Drosophila melanogaster: one gene and its partners. The protein of the gene in region 3 interacts with the protein of the main gene of each other region in a pairwise test. Each region holds a gene or a part of one and is shown on either strand. Other genes may lie near its edges.

Region 1 (6,121 bases), on a different chromosome or scaffold from region 3:
GGCCTACGGACCCTCGATCAAGATCTGGGATCTGGCATGCAAGAAGACCGTTGAGGAGCTGCGCCCCGAGGTCGTTTCGCCCACGTCGAAGGCCGATCAGCCCCAGTGCCTGTCCCTGGCCTGGTCCACCGACGGCCAGACTCTGTTCGCCGGCTACTCCGACAACACCATCCGCGTCTGGCAGGTGTCTGTTTCGGCTCACTAAGCTACTGACCTTTGTAACGGGCGTCAAATTTGTTTAGCTAAAACAAAAATAAAATTTAAGCGTCCTTAACTGAAATTTGTGTATCTTGTAGCGGCTGAATTAGTTTTAACTTTAGGCTTTGGGCTATAGAGTTTTCTCCGGATAGATGGGAATAGTATAAACAGTGGGACAATTTAGTTTAGGCAGAAGATAAGTAAATGTTAATAAAGAAAACATTTTATATAAACTTTAATCGAAAGTGGATGTTTTTAATCCCTAAACTACAAACCAGATCATTTCATTGAAATCCAAAACGAATAATGTTGAGAAAAACAATTAGAAATTGAATTTAAGTAGCAAAACGAAATGTTCTCGTTTCGTATGCATTGTTTTATTCGTAAAAACATTTCGACATTTAGAAAATGTTTTCTTTTACACGTATAACAAATAAATTAAATAAATAGTTACGTGATGATGTTACCCTGACTGAGTCAGTGACTGTGATGATTTTCGTGTGCGAATTGGAAAAACGGAGTGCACGGCAATGTGGCGGCGGATGCAAACATATTTTGTTTAAACAAAACAACATTGACTAACAAACAACCTTAATATTAAGACAAATGATGAACGCATTTTCGAGTGATGAATGTGTATGCATGTCTGTAATGGGATGAATGAACGCTGCCTTTGGACAAGTAACAAAAAGGTCAAAAGGTATTTAGCAAAATGCCTAACTAGAAAAATTCGGGCACTTTCGTTTGTTTTTCTTGGGGAGAAGGAAATTTTTAGGAGAAAAGCTGAAGAGCATTTCTTAGCAGGCACTCTTATCTATCGTTTTTCATTTGGTTTTGATTGAATTCGAGCGTTGCACAACTGCAGGCGCAACTGGTTGAGATTTGGCTGGGACTTTTAGGGATTCTTCTCCCGCTTTTCCCGCTGAGCTGCCAATCTTGTAGACATCGTTCTTGAAGACGATCACCAGCACGGTGATGTTGTCCACGGAGCCACGTTTATACGACTCCATGGCAAGTGATTTGGCGCCAAAGTCCGGCTCTTTCAGATGCTCCAACGCAAAAGTGCAGGCCTCCTCATTGCTGAACGTGTCCCACAGCCCATCGGATGCCAGTATCAGAAAATGGGGTCTATAAGAAAGTATTTCATTAAATACAGGTCTAATGTAATGCACTTTACAACTATCAAATGGTCGTTTGGATTGTTGTTGCAAAGTGTTGTTCACTCACTTGTGATCGTTTAGTTCGAAGGTCAAAATGTCCGGCGTAGCAATCACCAGATTCTGTAAGCGTGTGGTTAAAAATAGTGTCAAGATTAGCCTCGTTAGTAACTCGTTGGAACCATCCCATTTTTCCCACCTTATCTTTAAGCGGATAGTCCCCTAGAGCACGTGACGTGGCCAACACCCCGGCCACACGCCAAACGCCTCGGAAGGCGATGAATCCGCCTGCATCGTGGATTCTCTTTCGTTCTCGCACTTGCTGCGGCTTGTGATCGAATGAAAGCGGTATGGCGATTCCACGCCAGTCGTACATGACTCCGCGGGAGTCGCCCACATTGGCCACAATCAGCTTTGAGCCCTGAACTATCGCTATTAGAGCGGTGGTTCCCGCAATGTTGGTCTGCAATTAAGATCAGTTAGAATTGTCTCTTAAGATTAAGTAAAAAGAGGTTCCCTTACCGCTCTCTTGGCCTGCTCCACAAGCTTGTAGTCGGCCGACATGATCTCGTCCGTGATCAGTTTACCAAAGTTAATACGTCCGTGTTCGATGTAGCACTTGGCTTCGTAGTTTGGAGGTGGCGCATTGGCTGCTCCGTTCTGTCCGTTGTTGTTGTTGTTGAGGAAGGAATCCTTGGCGGCTCCCAAATTCCCACTGGCTCTCATCGCCGAGTTTAATTGGACTGTGTAGATGTCGGCAATGGATGCCTCGGTTGTCTTTTGCTTAATAGCACTACAATCCGCCGTGGTGCTGTGGGCCTTCCTTAGACTATCCTTTCGCATCACCCCTGCCGTCGGTTCTGTGTTCTCCTTGTTTGCATCCTTGCGACTCTGCTTGCGCGCTAAATAGGGACTCTTATCGTAATCTCCGGAATTTCCTTCCGTCTTCAGAAGCTTGGACATCTCGATGATCTTATTGTAGATGTTCTTCACCAGCACATCCTTGGCGAAGTCTGCGGCAAACTCGCCGCCATGACCGTCAAATACGGCAAAGAAGGAGATACCAGTGTTGTTGTTGATGTTCTCCTCGATAATAAACCTAAGATGTAAATAAAAGTCTTTAGTCTTTAGTTTCTTGGAATGTGTACATTTGAATAGAGATGTCACTAAGTTGTTTCTAAAGACCCAAATTATTATTATCTAGTCTAAATTTGACATATGGAAAAGATTTATATAGCTATAAAGTGTTGCAATGCTATTTAATGAATGAAAATGAGTGTTGCCAAGAATTTATTCCTCAATAGATCATTTAAATCTAATAAAAACACTCTTAGCCAATTTGTAAATCCTAAAATGCTGTCGATCGTGACAGATCTTTGTATATTTCAGCTACTATGTAAGTGCTATCTACAATATAGTTTATCCCTGGGAATTGTGACTTCATACGAACCTATCCTCCATTCTTGGCCTGCGTCCCAGGACCGCGAAGGCCGAGCTCTGCTGCTTCATCTCCTCCCAGCTCTGGTGATCACCAGCACTGGCCGACAGCTCCATCATCTTGACGGCCTTCTGGCGACCGAGGGTTGCCTGGATGCGTCCCAGGATGCTGCGACTCCACACATCTACCGCTTGCAAATAGAGCAACAGGACGAAGAGGATCAAGCCGCAGAAGATGACCTCCGGCCGAAGGACATACAGTCGGCACAGCTTCCATATGTAGGCCAGCGGGGAGTTGATGGACGAGAAGCCCACCGCAAATTTGGACAGGATTTTCATGTGCGATACGTATGTCTGATAGAACACCTTGTCTTCCAGTTCGTCGTCCATGGGAAATGCCGGGCTATCTGTATACTCTGCTGGCGCTTGATTTCGGCTCTGTCAATGTGTTTCAAGCAAATCGCATGCGAAACTGTCAGCGGTAAATGTTGATGTGGGTGTCAGTGGGTGTATATGCAAGGAATAAAAAACGAAATTAAAGTAAACAACAAAGGGGTTGGGCATTTTAATATGCAAGACTTTCCCGTTTAAATTCTCTCAGACTCGGACGGAATCGGAAGTAATATAATTTCCCATTTTTCGATGTCTGAGATCATTATTTACTTTATGGTTTCAAAGAACTCTGCTTAAGATCATTTCGAAAAACATTTTATAATGTTAAAATTTTAAATTATTTTTATATGTAGTTGAACGCAAGTTTTAGTATTATAGCAAATAGTTTATTACACTGTTGATTAATAATTTAAAATGAATGCGATTAATTTATTAATAAAAACGATATCTTTTTATAAAAATTTTAACGGTAACAATATATTGATCAACTTTAAAAGCTTTTCAGAAAACTGTATGAAATTATTTGTTTCGAATTCAGAATTTTTAAAATTTTTACTATTTTTTTTTATGCACTTATGCAGATTCCGACGCGACCTCAATTGAATGGGAAAGATTGCAGATTGCTCGCAAAATGAAAAACCCAGTCCATTTGGGGAAAACGTACTCTGGGGGCAAAGCACTTGAAGCTGCACGTCAGATGTCGTTTTATTTTGCTTTTGTTTTGATTTTCTTATTTTCTGAATTTTCCACCGCCGCCGATGTTCCCGTTATTTTGGTTTATCGTCCGTCCCCGTTCCTTTTCGCCGTGTCCCTTTTTTCTGCGCTTACAAACGCTCTTTTGTCGCTCGCCCGTCGCCTTTCGTTGGCATTATATTTTCGGATGTTCTTCTTATTTTAAAAATAAACTCAGTTTCTTGCATAAAATCAGAACATCCGCACTGCGTGCGTGTGTGCGAGTGTGTGCTCTTTATACGTATGCACGTCGCACATCTGTCAATCGCGCCTGTGTGTGTGAGTGGCCGCACGGATGTCGCAATAAATAAATAAAAAATATATATATATTTTCACGCACTGCAACCTGAAAACCGATCCAAACAATGCCGACTTGTTCGGCGACACGTCTGTGTTTAATTAAAACAGAGCTCGAAACTTGCACTTGTTGAGATTTCAGCTGAAATTGATGAACTTTTGAAATATCGATAGGGGCCGAAGCGATAACTCTTATCGATAGCCAGCAGGGGTACTCTTTTCATGCAAAACTTTAGTGATTTTCGAGCAGGCAGGGATAACTAGAAATTGCATGATTTCAAGCACTTTTGCATTTTTTGCATTACCTTGACCTTTGTGCTTGAAGTGGGCTTCTCTGCAACTGTGCCAACTGCATTATTAATTTTTTAATTGTTATTAAATACCTGCTGAGCTCCTTAACGATCTTCTGTAACGGTGATCCATTCGTAACAACTTCCGGTTTTAAAAGAACCTCTGGCCCCCGAAAAAAAAATGTGGAAAATTATTTGGACGAAAATTAAAAACAAAAACAAGCCGCACGCGACGCGCAGAAGAACTAAAACAAAACGGAAAATGGAATAAATTGGCAATGTTTATGGCAGCATAAGTATACAATAGTATAGAAATCGAAGTACAGTGAAAATAGCATAAGCCGAATTTTTGTATATATTTGAACTCCAACAAACTTCTGTTTAAATACTTTTTATCTATATTAAGCTTTTAGGCTTCATTTCCAACGTTATTAATATTGTTTTATTCAACGTTTGTAAATAATATATTTCTGTTATTATACTTAAAAGTAGTTGCATTTGTTCAGCGAAAAAGATTTATTGTTGGGAAATAGAACTGTGTTGCAAAAATACTCTCACCTGTCGCTCTCCATTTAAATGACCATTATCTCATTCCTCTCCCGATCGAGCCCAAACAAATGCTAGACATTTCCACATTTAAGTAGTTTTATTTAATTACATTAATTGCATTACAAAATGGTATAGGGATAGTATAAGAAAAACTTAGCTCAGTGTGTACACATTAAAAGTGAAGGCATCGATTTCTTTCGCTCAATTTTTAAAATTAACATTGCAGTGTTGGTTTTCGCTTAGAGTACAAAACGTAACGGTAACTTAACAGTGGTTACATAATAACTGTCGCCTTCCTAGTTGTTCTTGTAGTTCTTTACTTGATTCTCGTATTTCGCAATTTGCTTATTTGTTCATGAATATGGCAATTTAGATGGCCACGCAAATGGATCTAAAAAATATTACTGATTTTAGTTATTTGCTTGTAATAGTATTAAAACTGCATTACTTACGTTTCCCAATCTACGTATAGCACTGCCTGTAGTGCGACCCCCGCTCCTTGATGTGAATCAGGTGCTCGTTGAGCTCCTTGTTCAAGGGGCCGATCTCGGCCTGCAATCGCAGTAGTTGTTGGTTCTTGTTCAGATAGACGGTCTGCAGATCGTTCAGATCCTTTAGCTTGGCGTTCGTATCGACTGTTAGTTTGGAGGCCCTCTGGAGCAGCTGCTTGGCCCTTTCCCTGGCATTTTCGGAGCGACTGGCGCGATCGGTGAGGGTCTGATTGGTGGCACTTGTGGCAGACTGAAGATTATTGGCCTCTCCGCGAGCCCTCATGGCCTCCAGTTTGACGCTACCCGCTTCCTTGGTTATCTCCTTGGCATCCCGATCGTTCTTCATTATGTTATTCTGCAGTTTCTGCACTTTCTTGGCCAATTTCTCAACCTGCTGTGCTGTGTTATTGGCCGGAGCTTCGGCGGAATACGTTTCCTCATCGATCTTCTCCAGATCCTGACCGGCCAACTCAATGTTACTGTTCGCCTGCTGAATGGCATCCTTGGCTTTACCCTGGGATTCATCTGCCGCCGCCAGGCTCTCCACGACCGAATTGGCAGAGTCCAGGATCTTATC
Region 2 (3,122 bases), 8.8 Mb from region 3:
TTTTCGGCTGGTCCATCGTTCTTCCGAAGGACAATTGAAGGCAACTGAAGCGGAGAGCTGCTGCACCAAAGGAATGAGGAGGCGCAGCTCTGCGAAATCCCAAACATCTCTCGAACAAAGAAGCATCCCCAAAGCGATGCCCACATACTTACATATATGTAACCGTTTATCATAGATCAAGTATTATGCAGACATTGTTCAGGATGTTCTACTATCTCGTTGTCGCCCACTGAATGTAATTAACGTTGCTTTTTGCCAAATAGTCGTGGCATAGCGTGCTGCACGAACTACATATTATCATTGTTATAGCATACGTATGTATATGCGTTGGGACTGGGCTAAACTCTTCGGAGTGCAGAGCTTCCGATGTCCAGACCCGATTTTATCTGTGTTTTACTACCATAATACATATTATAGACGTCTAAGGCATTAACGCTTTAGCCAACATGAATAAACATAATCAACCACCCGATTCATCGCTGGGTATATCCTAAAACTGACCTTTTTGAATTGGAAGTGCATTTTAGTGGAGTATATACATTTATAAGCTTATTAACTAGGACAAAGAATTCGTAACGATTAATAGGTATATATAGTCCATCGCCTGTTTGGTGGTTACGACTTTGGAATAGAATGGCATTGGCTCACAGGTGAGCGAACTTCAGCACCAGCAAGCCGACGAGTATGCCCACCTCCAGAATGATAATCAGGATTAGGATGATCTTGTTGTAGAGCACCTCCCTGCTCAACTTCCGAATGATGACCCTCGATTTGGACAGATCCTGATCGGCGTCCTCCAGGCGGCGCGTGGTGCGTAGCAGCGACTCCCTCTGCTCGCCCAGTTCGCCGAGTACCTGTTGATGCGTAAGCGAGCATTAGTTAGCCCTGTTAATGGCTACTATCTGGGTAATTACCTCCGCCCCCATGTTCTCCGTTTCGATGGCAATCTGGTTGGATCGCTGGATACTGTCCGTCGTCCGCTGTAGCACGTCGTAGGTGCTGGCCGCGAGCTGCGCCTGCCTGCGCTCCTGGTCGCTGCCGCTGGGCAGCTGGCTATAGCCGGCGTAGGACATAATTTGGTAACAGCTTTTAATAAATTAAATGCGATGCAGTGGGAATATCAAAACAAAACAAAGGCAGAGTGTGGCCGTGGTGAGCGGTGCAGTGAAAACGCTATTTGGTAAGGTACTAACGCGTTGTGCGTGGAGCCACCTGTTAACACTTTATGCACTTTACAGCACTTAAAACAGTTGAAATTTAAAATGAAACTGTTACCAAATTAGCTTAATATTATTTTATATTCTAAATTCTAATTAAAAGTTTAAATTGTAAGAAGTGTTAGTTCAATTGGTTTTTTTTTGAGATTGGCTTCCTCACTATCAACAAGCACATCTAGTTACTGCAAAAATATCACATATTAATGGTGATTAATTGGGTGATCCTAAGAGTGATTAGGTTTTTGGAAACTGACCATTTTTTTGGTAGACACATGTAGCACTCGAGGATTTTGACTTTAGTACGGGTATTTGTCGATTTCTGATTTGCGATAACGGTCACCGATCATACATAGTTGGCATGCCCGCGCCGAGAGAGCCGCCTGAATTCACAGGGTGTGTGTGCTGAGTAACAGAGAGTGCGAGGCATTTCGAGGCGATCGCGAGATTTTCGAACCGAAGTCGCGGCAGCGAGTGCCAAATTTAAACGCAGTCGATCGCTGGCGGTGAGCAGACGTGTGCTGCGCTCCATTCAGATTCAGATTCGAATAAAGATACTCTCGCTCGGCAACAAACAAGTTCTAAATTTATCGCTCGCACTCGCGGGGAATCGAATCTGGTGTGTCTTTGACATAAAAAGCGTTTTCGGAGCTGTGAAGGTAAGCGAAAAACTCGAAAAAACTCGAAGCAACTGGAAAAACCCGGCGGGTTCGAGGTGTAAAAGCTGTGCCACGGGTTATCCACCCGTATATATCCCATATCCCCTGTAAACTAGCCATCCAAAGCACGTGCTTTGGCAGCAGGGAGTATGTGCAATTAAGCCCAATTTGAATGCACTTTGGCACGTGATGCTGGCTGCTGACAGCTACTGGTCGGAAAAGTGAGCTTACTGGGGGCTGCGGGGCACACCTGTCATGGGACCCATTGTGCAAACACCTGCCAGAAGTCGCAGCTAAAGTCAGAGCGGCAGATACGCGTAGCGCTATCTCTTTCGTAAGCCCCGAGTATCTCTGAGATACTCAGGTACGCACCTACTACGTTCGCAGTGTGTGTGTGTGTTAGTCGAACCCTTGTCATGTGAATATAATACTCTCCAGAGTATCTGTGAGTCGCGCTCTCTTTGCAAAGTCGCGAGTTTTCGAGTTTTATGCAATCATCATAATCATATGGGGGGGTTCTATCATGTGATCTTTTTCTCGGGGTCTCGGTTTCCAGAAGCCTTGCGTCCCCACAAAGATCTCCAGCTGGAACGGAAACCCTAAAAGCTGGGCTCGAGTAGTTGCGAATAGCGCACAATAAATACCAGTCGATTATGATTTATGGATCGCTCTATAAATTGTCCAATGGCACTTCCAATCGATCAATCAGTATTGCGCTGATTAGCCACAGTCGCAGACCCAGTTTATGAATGGGGAAAATCTGATCGATTCTAGAAATCTAGCAATTTCACATCTGAAGTATAGTATTTTGCCGAGTTGCACACAAGTGCTCCTGGTCGATCGTCCAGTTAATTAGCTATATAAAGCCAAAGCCCGGCCACTCGAGTCGCCGATCTCCAGTTACGTAACTCTATATGTATGGCTTATCGGGGAAGTGGTCGGCAAACACTGCAAATAATGCTGACTTTGATGGCTTATTTTTCTGTATTCAATAGTATTGCGTAAAGAGGCTATTTATAAGGAGTTGATACTAGCCGATTTATTAGCTGGCTCCTGTTTTACAGCTCTATATAATTTTGAATTCCCCCCATTAGTTCGATAATATATGAGCATAATCATCTTTGTGACGCAATGAAACGGTTTCTTCGCACAGAAGCAGTTGAAGAAAATGAATTGAACTGACAATTGGCGTTAATAAATGATGGTGCGGACTGTTTTTGTTCCTCGATCGCCTCCACTGTGGATTCAC
Region 3 (4,996 bases):
TTGTTCTGGTCGGATTCCCATTAATCTCGGTAGTTCTGATACTTGGACGCTTAATTCCCTGGGAAGATGCCCTGTTGCGCTTCATTAGAATATGTTATTCATTGCTGCGAAGTCTTTCAATGATGTGCCTAGGACGGAAATATGACCACCAGACCGAACCATACCCTTCTGCGCCAATGACCGAATATTCAGCATCGCGGGTGGTCTGTGGAGCCATCCTCTTGCCCACCATATCCATGTACGTGGGTAGAGTTCTTTACAGCTCTGTCGACGATAGATTGCAACAAACTCTTCTTGGGGGATTGACTTTCATAGCGATCAAGGGATTCCTCAAAATGTACCTCATGCATAGCCAATACATCTGTCGTATGAAGCGTCGTGTTTTGGATTACACGAAGGAAAACCTAGCGGAGGCAGACGGACACTAGGTAAACTCAAGATCTGCAAGAGAAGCAAGAAGTAATTTGAATATCTATTTAAATTGTAAAGTGTACAATTTTCCTAAGACTACGTGTCAATAGTGCATTCTTACTACCAATCATAAATAATCGTTAAAGCATTTATTAATTTATGCATAATAGTTTACAGCTAACAGTAGGAAATGGTGTCTAAATGTAATGTACTCCCTAGGATCTCTATGCACGATTGATCGATCCAGCCCCCTCTTTACGGAAGTCAACTCTGTATCGAGGGCGCGATCGTCGAGAACTAAAACTCCAATGTATATTTTAACTATACAAAAAATACTGTATGCCGTGTGTGTGTCCAATGAACTTGGCCGCAACTCAGATGCGGTTAAGTAACTGCGCGCCACCTTAAGTAATCCTCGCCTAACGTCTCACTTCGTTCGGCTTCTGTGCCTGGTTCCTGGAGCTGCGTCGTCCAACAACTCGTTCAGTTGTTGGGCTCCTGCTTGTATTGTTATTGTCGGTTGTTCACCCCCTCGGGATTGTGGCTGCTGACCATGCTGTGCTCCATGTTCTTCACGATCACATAGTTGGTGATGTGGTTGATGGCCTCGTCCTGCAGCCGCTCCGGCCAGCGCTTCATGTACGATTTGATGAAGTCGCCGAACGTGTCCACCTTATCGGGAGTGCTCTTGTGCGTGTCCACGATGTTCTTCACAATGTCCACGAACTTGTCGTAGTCCTCGTGCGACTTCTTGATCTTCTGGTAGTTGGCCACGCCTCCATTGGTGTTGCCCCCACCACCACCACTGCCACCGCTTCCACCGGCAGCCGTGTTCATTTGCTGATCCATGTTGTTATCCGCCAGGCGGGCTGAGGCAGCGGCAGCCACCGCCGCCACGGCCGCCGATGAGGCCATGAAGTTGTCCACGCTGCCGGCATTGGGTGGTGGCTGGGAGTGGTCCATAAAGTGCCGATGCATCCCGTACTCGGTCCTGCAAATCCCAATTGTTATTTAAACATGTTGTGAGGAAGGTGTTCCAATGCTAGTGCTTACTTATAGAACCCCTCCGTGTTGTTACTATTAAACTCTTGCTGAGACATTGGATTCTTCCAAACTGGTGACTCGGATGTGGATGGTAAGCTGCTCGTATTGGACGCACTTGTCATGCGTTTGTCTCTGGAAAATAATAAGATATTTTGTTAGTTTGGGATTGCTATATGGGAAGTATCTATCATATCTCAACCAACTTGTAACCGGTGTGTGCGGCCAGACTCTTAAACACATCATCCACTTGACTGTAGAACTTCCAGGTGCTGATGATGCCTGTGGTCTCAAAGGTCTTCTGCTCCTGCCGGTAGCGCTGCGTTAGATTGTTGACTTTAAAGTGAACCTCGAGTGCGGTAACAGGGACGCCCAGCGAGGTTAGCTGCTTGGCCATTGCCACATACAGATGGCCATTGCGTTTAATGGTGCGCAGCTCATAGGCGCAGACTTTCCATAGTTTGATCAGCTCTAGAACACCACTATCCTCCCATTGTCGGCGCTTTTTGTTGAATTTTTCATACTGCGAATAGGTATACGATTATATTGATGATAAAGCTACTGATTCCAAAGACAACTTACAGGCATTTCACATGGGTCTTACTGCCGACAAATGGGATTGCCCGACAATCTTCGTCTGCCAGCTGATGGAGGACATGAAGCGGTTTATCTAGTGGGCTGGCATACTGTACACGGATTCGCTCCTGAAATAAATCAAATGATTAGTTAACGTGCAGGTGTCGTTGTTTACTATTTGTATTGTTAGACGTATTAATATTGCAATCCCTATGAGTTTCAGGGATTTCTTAAAAAGTGCACACCACACGTAAATAAACAACCGAACATATGGTCAGCCACCTATTTGATGACTATTTAATTGAATTGAAATGGTAATTAATCTTTTGTAGCCTAATACCTTCCCACAAAAAGGGTTACGAATGATTGCATTTCATAGTTAACTTAGTTCTCGCGGCAATTAAAGGGTATAATGTTGTAATACACATAAAATTCTATTATATTGCAGCAGAGTTTGGATTCATAGAAATATTTATGTATTTTTAAGCTCCTAGAAGGACTCATTCCCTAGTTGTCATGGGTATTAATTACTATACGATATAATTATGCACAATTTGAAGTTCTATTTATATTCACTAATTAATTTCAGCTTAAACTTTTAAAACGCAAGTATTTTTAACAATTCTTATCACAGGAAACAAAATGTTATAGGAACTGTTTTAAATTTGGCATCCAATGATTTTAAAATGGGTTATTGTCGCTTCCGTGTTGTTTGTACCGTAATCCCATTGGCTAACAACCCATTTTCTGGCACTAAAGGGTATTTACTAGTCGGTGTACTTTGTCTATTTTCTAGCTTTCAATTATCATTAAGCCGGCTCACACACACCGACGCAGCTCAGCCGCTCCCGCACAAACACACACGCATGCAATGCAAATCGAACGGTAAACGGTAAACAAATATTAATTGTGCGAGCGAAACAAGTTGCGATATGCATGCAGCAGCTGCGGCAGCAGCAGAAGATGAGAAGTGGATGCGGCGACGTTTGGAATCGAAGTGAAGCGGTAACTCAAGTGTAGAAGGGAGTTGGGCTCAGATGCGGATGAAGATGCTCCGCCGACGTCGACGGCGACGGCGGCTGCGGGATAGCAGCATTGGAGCCAATGTACATATATGTAAGTTCGCGGGGGGTGAGAGGTTACTTTTCTCGAATACACACACGCACACACTTTTCCCATTTCAGAGATACACACACTCACATCGCATCCACATCCGATTTTCTTGCGTTGATTGCGTTCTATTGTTACGTTTTTCGCTTTGCTCCATGCAACAACGGGCGAAACAACAACACTACGACGCCAACAGCGTGGGCACAAAACTTAATAATAAGTCAAATAATTAAATTTTAATTATCTTCAAGAGGGAAACACACGAAAAACGTAGTTTGTAGCTCCTACGCTGCGCAGCTCTCGCAATTCGACTCTATAATGATGTTCTCGGCGTGAGCGAGACAGCATGGCATGGCAAGAGCAACATGGTGTGAGCGGTGCGGCTAGTGTGACATGGCGTTGCCAGACAGTCGCCAGTGCAGTGCGTTGGGGTTTCGAACAGCGCCAAAAGGTGGGAAATTGAAAATGTTTATTGCGGCTTTAGGCCAATAGAACCAAGTCATCTGCCATTTATCGTGCTCAATACAGTACTTTTACTTCAATCTCGGCTCGTTAGGGCGCAACAAAGCAAGCGCATTTCATCGCTCATCATCATCATCACCACCACCTACTCCCGCCTCCCTTCAACAAATCGCTTTTCTTGGAGCATAATGCACACACACACTGGCACAGTCACACCGACACGTATGTGCCGGTCATCATCATCATCATTAGGTTGTGCGATGGAGCAACAACAACAACAACAAAAGCAAACGTCATTAGCGGGCTAAATAACAAAAAATGATAATGTCGCTGCTGCCACAAAGTCGTCGTCAGTTGGCTTTGCTTGTGGGGTAATCATCATTAAATTGCACATCGTCTCGATGAAAAAGTGCTGGCGGGGCGGGGCGATAGGCGATGGGGGTGGGGCAAGGCAGAGGAAGAAGAAATTGGGGGAAGCGAAATCCCAATAACAAGGTCACCAAATATTCAAAAATCTACGAACCTAGCCAACTATATAAATAGTAAACTTTGAGATAATTAATAATAGACATACAAACTAATGTTGTTTATTTGTATTTTGAAAAATATATTACGTAAATTTCTAGTTATTGACACATATTTTTACTTTCAAATAGGTTTTAGTTGAATATCAATCTATTTTCATTCTCCCTAAATATATTATTATAAACAATTATGTTCTTCAGTGTTTACAAATTTCTATATTGCAAATATGTATCTTTTTCTTTTGTTACTAAGTACAGATTGTTTAGGAATACAAAATGAATATGTCATCATCTTCAAGAACTTGACATTTTAATAGCTACAACATCATCGTGCAGCCCCCACCTTTTATCATTTCTATAAACAATAATGGTCAGCTTAATAGTTACCCTTAAAATCAAATCATATTAAACTATTATATGTATAGTACAATACTTATCTTAATTTATTGTGCAACATTTTTAATATAATTTTAAGATGGCACCTCTCTTATATAACTGTTATTTTAGTGAATTTATTTTAATGAATCATTAGCTAAAATATATTTTTAATGGTAAATGCATGCTAGTGTTTAAAATGTATTATTACTTTTACTTAAGTATATTTCACTATTTTCCAAACTTGTGACTATTGCACTAACCTCAAGTGTACGCATTACTACTACATATTTGCCCCCTCATACTCAGCTTACCCACATTCTCCATATTCGCCGGTCATCATCATTAGGTTGTGAGGCGCCGAGAGCATCAGCTCCCAAATGCGAACGTCATTAGTGGCGGGAAAAGAGCAGCAAGGAGCACCCATAACGCTATCATCGGCAATCATCATTAGGTGGGGCGAAATCGCCCGGAGAAGCTGCGCAGGATTCCATTGA
Region 4 (5,101 bases), on a different chromosome or scaffold from region 3:
ATGCGTCCAGATCCGCTGTTCATATTCGATCTTGGTGCCGCCGTTGGCGATGTCAAGTGGGCACCTTACTCGAGCACCGTCTTCGCAGCGGTGACCACCGAGGGCAAGGTCCACGTTTTCGACCTAAATGTGAATAAGTACAAGGCCATCTGCATCCAGGCCGTGGTGCCCAAGCGAAAGAACAAGCTCACCAGGTTATCCTTCAACGAGAAGCTCGCCTTCATTGTGGTGGGCGATGAGAAGTAAGCACCATACCAAGTATTCAATCTATATAGGCAATATATATTTATATATTCCAATTTCTGTCTTTAGGGGCGTCACCACTTCGCTGAAGCTATCGCCCAATCTCCGGATGATGGTGAAGCCGCCGAAGAAGCAGCTGTATCTCGACCAGAACACCCTCCAGATTGGCAAGTTGGAGAAGCTGCTTTCCCTGGTGCGGGAACTTCCGGAAGGTTCAACTGCGGTGCCCGATGCAGCCACAACCGTGCGAAGTTAAATCCCAACTTTTAACCAATTCCAGAAACACACTGTTTTCAGAGTTGATGTATTATATTTTACACATATAGATTATCTGCTGGTTCTGAAAGAATCCTGATTCATCCGTCTTGTGTTACGCTATGTTTCTATCCATCTAACAAAAATTTGCTATCAACCAACAAAAGGAACTTAGAAGCAATGTATATATAGTCACAAAATTGTATATATGCTTAAAAACGAAATAAATTATAGAAACAACTACGATCAAATCCGTTTTTAAGTAGTTTTTGTAGATCTTAGGATCATAAGAAGATTAGGATACATTATAATGCTAGTTGAAAACATTGTACTTTAAAAATGATATTTCATATAAATGAAATTTGTAGGGATTGTTCGTTCAGTCGGATGTTTAGTATATTGATTTTAAAACAACATTAATATCAAGAATCTGAACTAATAGCTTACTTTAATTGGCTGCATCCTATAATTCCTTAATAATCACGATTTCGTTTAGCAAAAAAAAATTAAAATATCCTTTTCACAGACATTTTGTGTTTTTTAAAACTATATTTTTAAATAAAGCTGCCTCAATCCTCATCCGCATCCAAGTCGGCGGACTTCACCCGGATGCGCTTCTCCTCCAGATACTCCAGTACATTGTTTGGGCACATAACGCTCTTGCCCAGAAAGAGCACCGTGGACATCGGATGCAGGTAGTCCGCCGAGAAGCTTCTGGCCTTCCAGCCGAAGAAGCCACTGGCCTTCGCCTCCGTTCCACTGATGGAATAGGGCAGTAGGTTGACGCCCACCTGGTTGGGCTTTGAGAACTGGACGCGGAAATGATGGCCATCGGTGGCCTTAATCCAATAGAAACCCTCGTTGTCCACATAGGGCTTGCTCTGCGACTTCTTCATCGCATTGGATCGCTCCAGGTCCTGGACATTGAAGCTAATGTCGATGTCGTAGGCATCCGGAGACAGGTGATTGGTTTCGATGGCGCTCTGCAGGGCTCGGTTGTCCAGCCAGTAGCGTATGCCCACGTTCTCGAACTCCTCCAGCACATGGTTGAAGGTCGTCCTCAGCTTGTCCAGGCAGCACGGTGGCGTATGCTTGCCCAGGTAGGAGTAGTACGGTCTCTCGTTATAGACACTGCCTATGCAGGACTTGGTGGTCCGCTCGCAGCCGAACAGATCGATGTCGGTGATCAGGGGCAGCGAGGTGTTCGAGGACGAGAACTGACCATCCAGGACCAAGCCGTGACCCTGACCCCAAACCTCCCGGGCCTGAGCCTTTCCTGGCACTCTGTATGCCCTTCTCACGATCCGCTTGATCTGCAGTTTCTTGTACATCTCACGGAACTGCCGACGGCGCAGGTCCATCCTCCGCTGTTTGGTGTGAAAGGAGGCGAATAGACGCCGTCCCTCTTGAAAGGCTTGCGGGAACACCGTGGTCTGGACAGGATTTCAGTTGTTATTGGTGCTGGGAAACAAGCATAAAAAAGTACTCACCGAGAGATTGGCTATCTTGGCCTGCATGTAGAGCATTTCCGGAAAGGGCAGGGAGAAGGGCTCGGGCATGGCTGCCAGAGCAGCTGCATCCAACAGGATTGCGTGCTTCTGCAGGAACTGTTAAGAACATACATTATTTTTGCAACTTATAAACCATATCCCTGAATTTTACCCACCAAATCACATCGTCTCGTATCGTTGGTTGCCACCAGCTCCAGTGTCCAGTCGGGCAAATCCAGGTTCATCTTGACGCAGCTGCTGAAGGACTTCAGATTGCCGGCGAAGGGTACTAGCACCATGCGTCGCACCAACTGCTCCGGCGGCACTGGAGGTCGCTGCTCCTTGGGCTGACCCGGCAGGCCCATGGAGTTGATCTCGCGCAGAATCTTCTGCAGGATGTTCTTGCTGTTCAGCCGCACGCCGTCCGGCATGATGAGAGCGTATTTGGTCCGAATGGACGCCAAGGGATTCAGCTCCTGCCGCGTTCGCCGCACATCGAAGGACAGACTCTGGAATAGCACGGTGCGCTCCTCGCCGGCGGTTAGGTTCCGTTCGTAGTTGACCGGCGGATAGGCGTACTCGGCACCGCCATCCTGAAGCACCAGGATGGGCATGTTGGGTATCACGTCCAGGATGCTGTCGATCGATGCCTTCAGATCCTGCTCAAAGTTGTAGTGGCCATAGAACACGATGGTGATGGACTTGCGTATGTGTTTGTTGGCATTGCGCAGCTTCTCCTTGGGCGACAGCTTGGCGGCCTTTGGCGGTTCCTCTGCCGGCTGAGATTCACCGGACAGAGCCCTACTTATCCGCCGCCAGAGCAGCGTGTTCCACGTGTAATAGAGAAACACCAGATTGGCCAGCAGAAATCCGAGCAGCAGCAGCTTGACCAGACGCAGTCGGAACACCTTCATGGCGAGTGTGCAGGATGTGCTCGCGATTCGCTAGATTCTGATGTTGTGTGTATCTGTATCTGTTTGTCCACCCGGGTATCTACACTGCAACTACATGACCGCGTTCTTCATCAGCACATCCTTCCAAGGATGATTGTTGCTCATACTCAATGTGCAATTGGCTTGACTGAAGGACTCATTTAACTTTTTATTTTCCGCTTTTCGAGAACTTTGTTTTTGTGCCTATTCCTTTTTCTTCGGCTATGCGCAAATACCGATTTCCTACCCCGCGGAAAAGCGCTTTCAGCTCGAACAGCTGATGGCGCCGGAGCTGGAAAAACGGATGAAAAGCTTCCTCCCAGGATATGTGACCGTATATCATGCCATTTTTAAGAGCTTTCCACTACGCTTTTCCCGCGCAAAAAGGACAAAATCATTTTTTTTTTTGTAAAACATTAAAAGCGATTGTTCTCTTTAATTCAATACAGTATAAAATATTTTTCTGAGAAAATGTTTATCAGGTAAGTGTGCTTAATGAAGTTATTGTAGTTTTCTCCACACAAACATTAAATTTTCGAATAAAATTGTGGATGGGACATCTGTGAGACCCTTCAAATAATACTGACTTTTAAGCGATCAAAACTAGAATGACTACTTTCCCATGCCGGCGAAGAGCAGCGGGAAGGGCACCTCATCGGTGGTCAGGATCTGCGGAGTCGGAGGACGCGCCTCGCCCTCGGAGGTGCTATTCAGCCAGTAGGTGGTGACCGTGCCCTTGCCCTTTAGCTCGACATCGCCGCGCTGCTCCATTTGGAAGGTGCCGAACTTGTCCAGGATGGCCTTGGTGGCCGAGGACACATGTATCTTGCCCGGCTGGCCAGTGCTCTCCATTCTCGACGCCGTGTTGACCGTGTCGCCAAACAAACAGTAGTGCGGCATCTTCTTGCCCACGACTCCGGCGCACACGGAACCCGAATGCATCCCAATGCGAATCTGTATCTTGTATTCCGGTTTATGGCGGAGATTGAAGGAGCTGACTGCTCGTAGGATGTCCAGGGCCATTAGAGCAATCTCGCGGGCATGCTTGTCACCATTGGGCTCCGGCAATCCAGAAACCACCAGATAGGCATCACCAATCGTTTCCACTTTGTAGACGTCGTAGAAGCCAATGATTCGGTCAAATGTGCTATACAAGTCATTCAGGAAGTTGACCACGTCCATGGGACTGCTACGGGCGCACAGTTCGGTGAAGCCAACGATGTCACTAAAGTATATGGTCACGCTGCTGAACTCCTCCGGCTCCACAAGATCGCCGGCCATCAGTTGCTGGGCCACAGGACGCGGCAGGATTTGGTAGAGCAGCTCCTCCGTACGCTGCTTTTCCAGGCTCAACTGGCGGGTTTTCTCCTCCACGAGACTCTCGAGATTGTTGGCATACTGCTCCATGCGATTCAGTAGATCATCCATTAGATTCTCACAGAAGCCTCTGCAGGTGTTTAAAATTGCTTATAACTAAGATACCAAGATAAGATACCAAGGACACTTACTTCATTATGGTGCGAATATTACTGCGTATGGTGGAGAAAGTGGGCCGCTCCTCCTGATTGTCTGCCCAGCACTTCTCCATTAGCTCCAGCAGATCAGGTGGACACTCGCGTTCTCTGATGAGCGGACGGAATCCATTGCACTGGCGCACCTTGTGCAGGATCGTGTGAACGTCCATCTGCTGGCGCGCCTCCTGGTAGGGTCCACCACGGTTGACGATCTCCTCCAGAATAATGCCAAAGGAGTACACATCGCCGCGCTGCGTGGCTGGACAGCAACCAGGTATGGTGGTCAGTGGAAGCAGTTCGGGAGCAATCCACAAGAGCTCTGCAATAATATGCACCACTCAGTAAAAGGAAACTGATTTGATGTCTTTGGAACTCACTGAGGTAGTAGTTCTGATCCCGCACAAAATCAGAGGGCGTGGTCAGCGTTCTCAGTCCAAAGTCGGAGATCTTGAGAACGAATCGTCCGTCTATCAGGCAATTGCAAGACCTCAGCTTTCCATGGGCAGCCACATCGCTATTGTGCAGATAGTTCATGCCCTTGACAATGTCGTGGATGAGAGACATGCGAAAGTTCCAGTCCAACTCGATGGCCTCGTTCTCCAGCACATCCTTCAGACTGCCCCTCGAGCAATATTCGGTGAGGATGAGCACGGTGGGTCGCGGCAGA

Evidence for each region.
Region 1: the proteins of CG18766 (region 3) and CG7115 interact in a two-hybrid assay, tested with the Drosophila melanogaster proteins (one large-scale study listed by BioGRID).
Region 2: the proteins of CG18766 (region 3) and Vti1b interact in a two-hybrid assay, tested with the Drosophila melanogaster proteins (one large-scale study listed by BioGRID).
Region 4: the proteins of CG18766 (region 3) and CG15651 interact in a two-hybrid assay, tested with the Drosophila melanogaster proteins (one large-scale study listed by BioGRID).

What each region holds. Positions count from the first base shown.
Region 1 is NT_033779.5:7,819,785-7,825,905, reverse strand, and holds CG7115 (uncharacterized protein), read right to left. Parts: upstream 4,372-6,121; 5' UTR 3,850-4,371; intron 3,265-3,849; 5' UTR 3,183-3,264; coding exon 2,806-3,182; intron 2,455-2,805; coding exon 1,878-2,454; intron 1,819-1,877; coding exon 1,555-1,818; intron 1,479-1,554; coding exon 1,426-1,478; intron 1,327-1,425; coding exon 1,023-1,326; 3' UTR 556-1,022; downstream 1-555. Other genes in the region: Rack1 (receptor of activated protein kinase C 1), read left to right, coding at 1-205; LanB1, read right to left, coding at 5,516-6,121.
Region 2 is NT_033777.3:18,397,743-18,400,864, reverse strand, and holds Vti1b (vesicle transport through interaction with t-SNAREs 1b), read right to left. Parts: upstream 1,157-3,122; 5' UTR 1,074-1,156; coding exon 915-1,073; intron 855-914; coding exon 645-854; 3' UTR 526-644; downstream 1-525. Other genes in the region: Wdr37 (WD repeat domain 37), read left to right, coding at 1-38.
Region 3 is NT_033777.3:27,241,789-27,246,784, forward strand, and holds CG18766 (uncharacterized protein), read right to left. Parts: upstream 3,462-4,996; 5' UTR 3,402-3,461; exon of another isoform or gene 3,229-3,401; intron 3,031-3,228; exon of another isoform or gene 2,858-3,030; intron 2,157-2,857; 5' UTR 2,041-2,156; coding exon 2,035-2,040; intron 1,976-2,034; coding exon 1,659-1,975; intron 1,588-1,658; coding exon 1,465-1,587; intron 1,403-1,464; coding exon 922-1,402; 3' UTR 547-921; downstream 1-546. Other genes in the region: CG17991 (uncharacterized protein), read left to right, coding at 1-428.
Region 4 is NT_033778.4:20,983,301-20,988,401, forward strand, and holds CG15651 (uncharacterized protein), read right to left. Parts: upstream 3,201-5,101; 5' UTR 2,903-3,200; coding exon 2,165-2,902; intron 2,106-2,164; coding exon 1,989-2,105; intron 1,932-1,988; coding exon 1,068-1,931; 3' UTR 538-1,067; downstream 1-537. Other genes in the region: CG9313 (uncharacterized protein), read left to right, coding at 1-242, 313-499; CG3216 (uncharacterized protein), read right to left, coding at 3,533-4,367, 4,429-4,753, 4,812-5,101.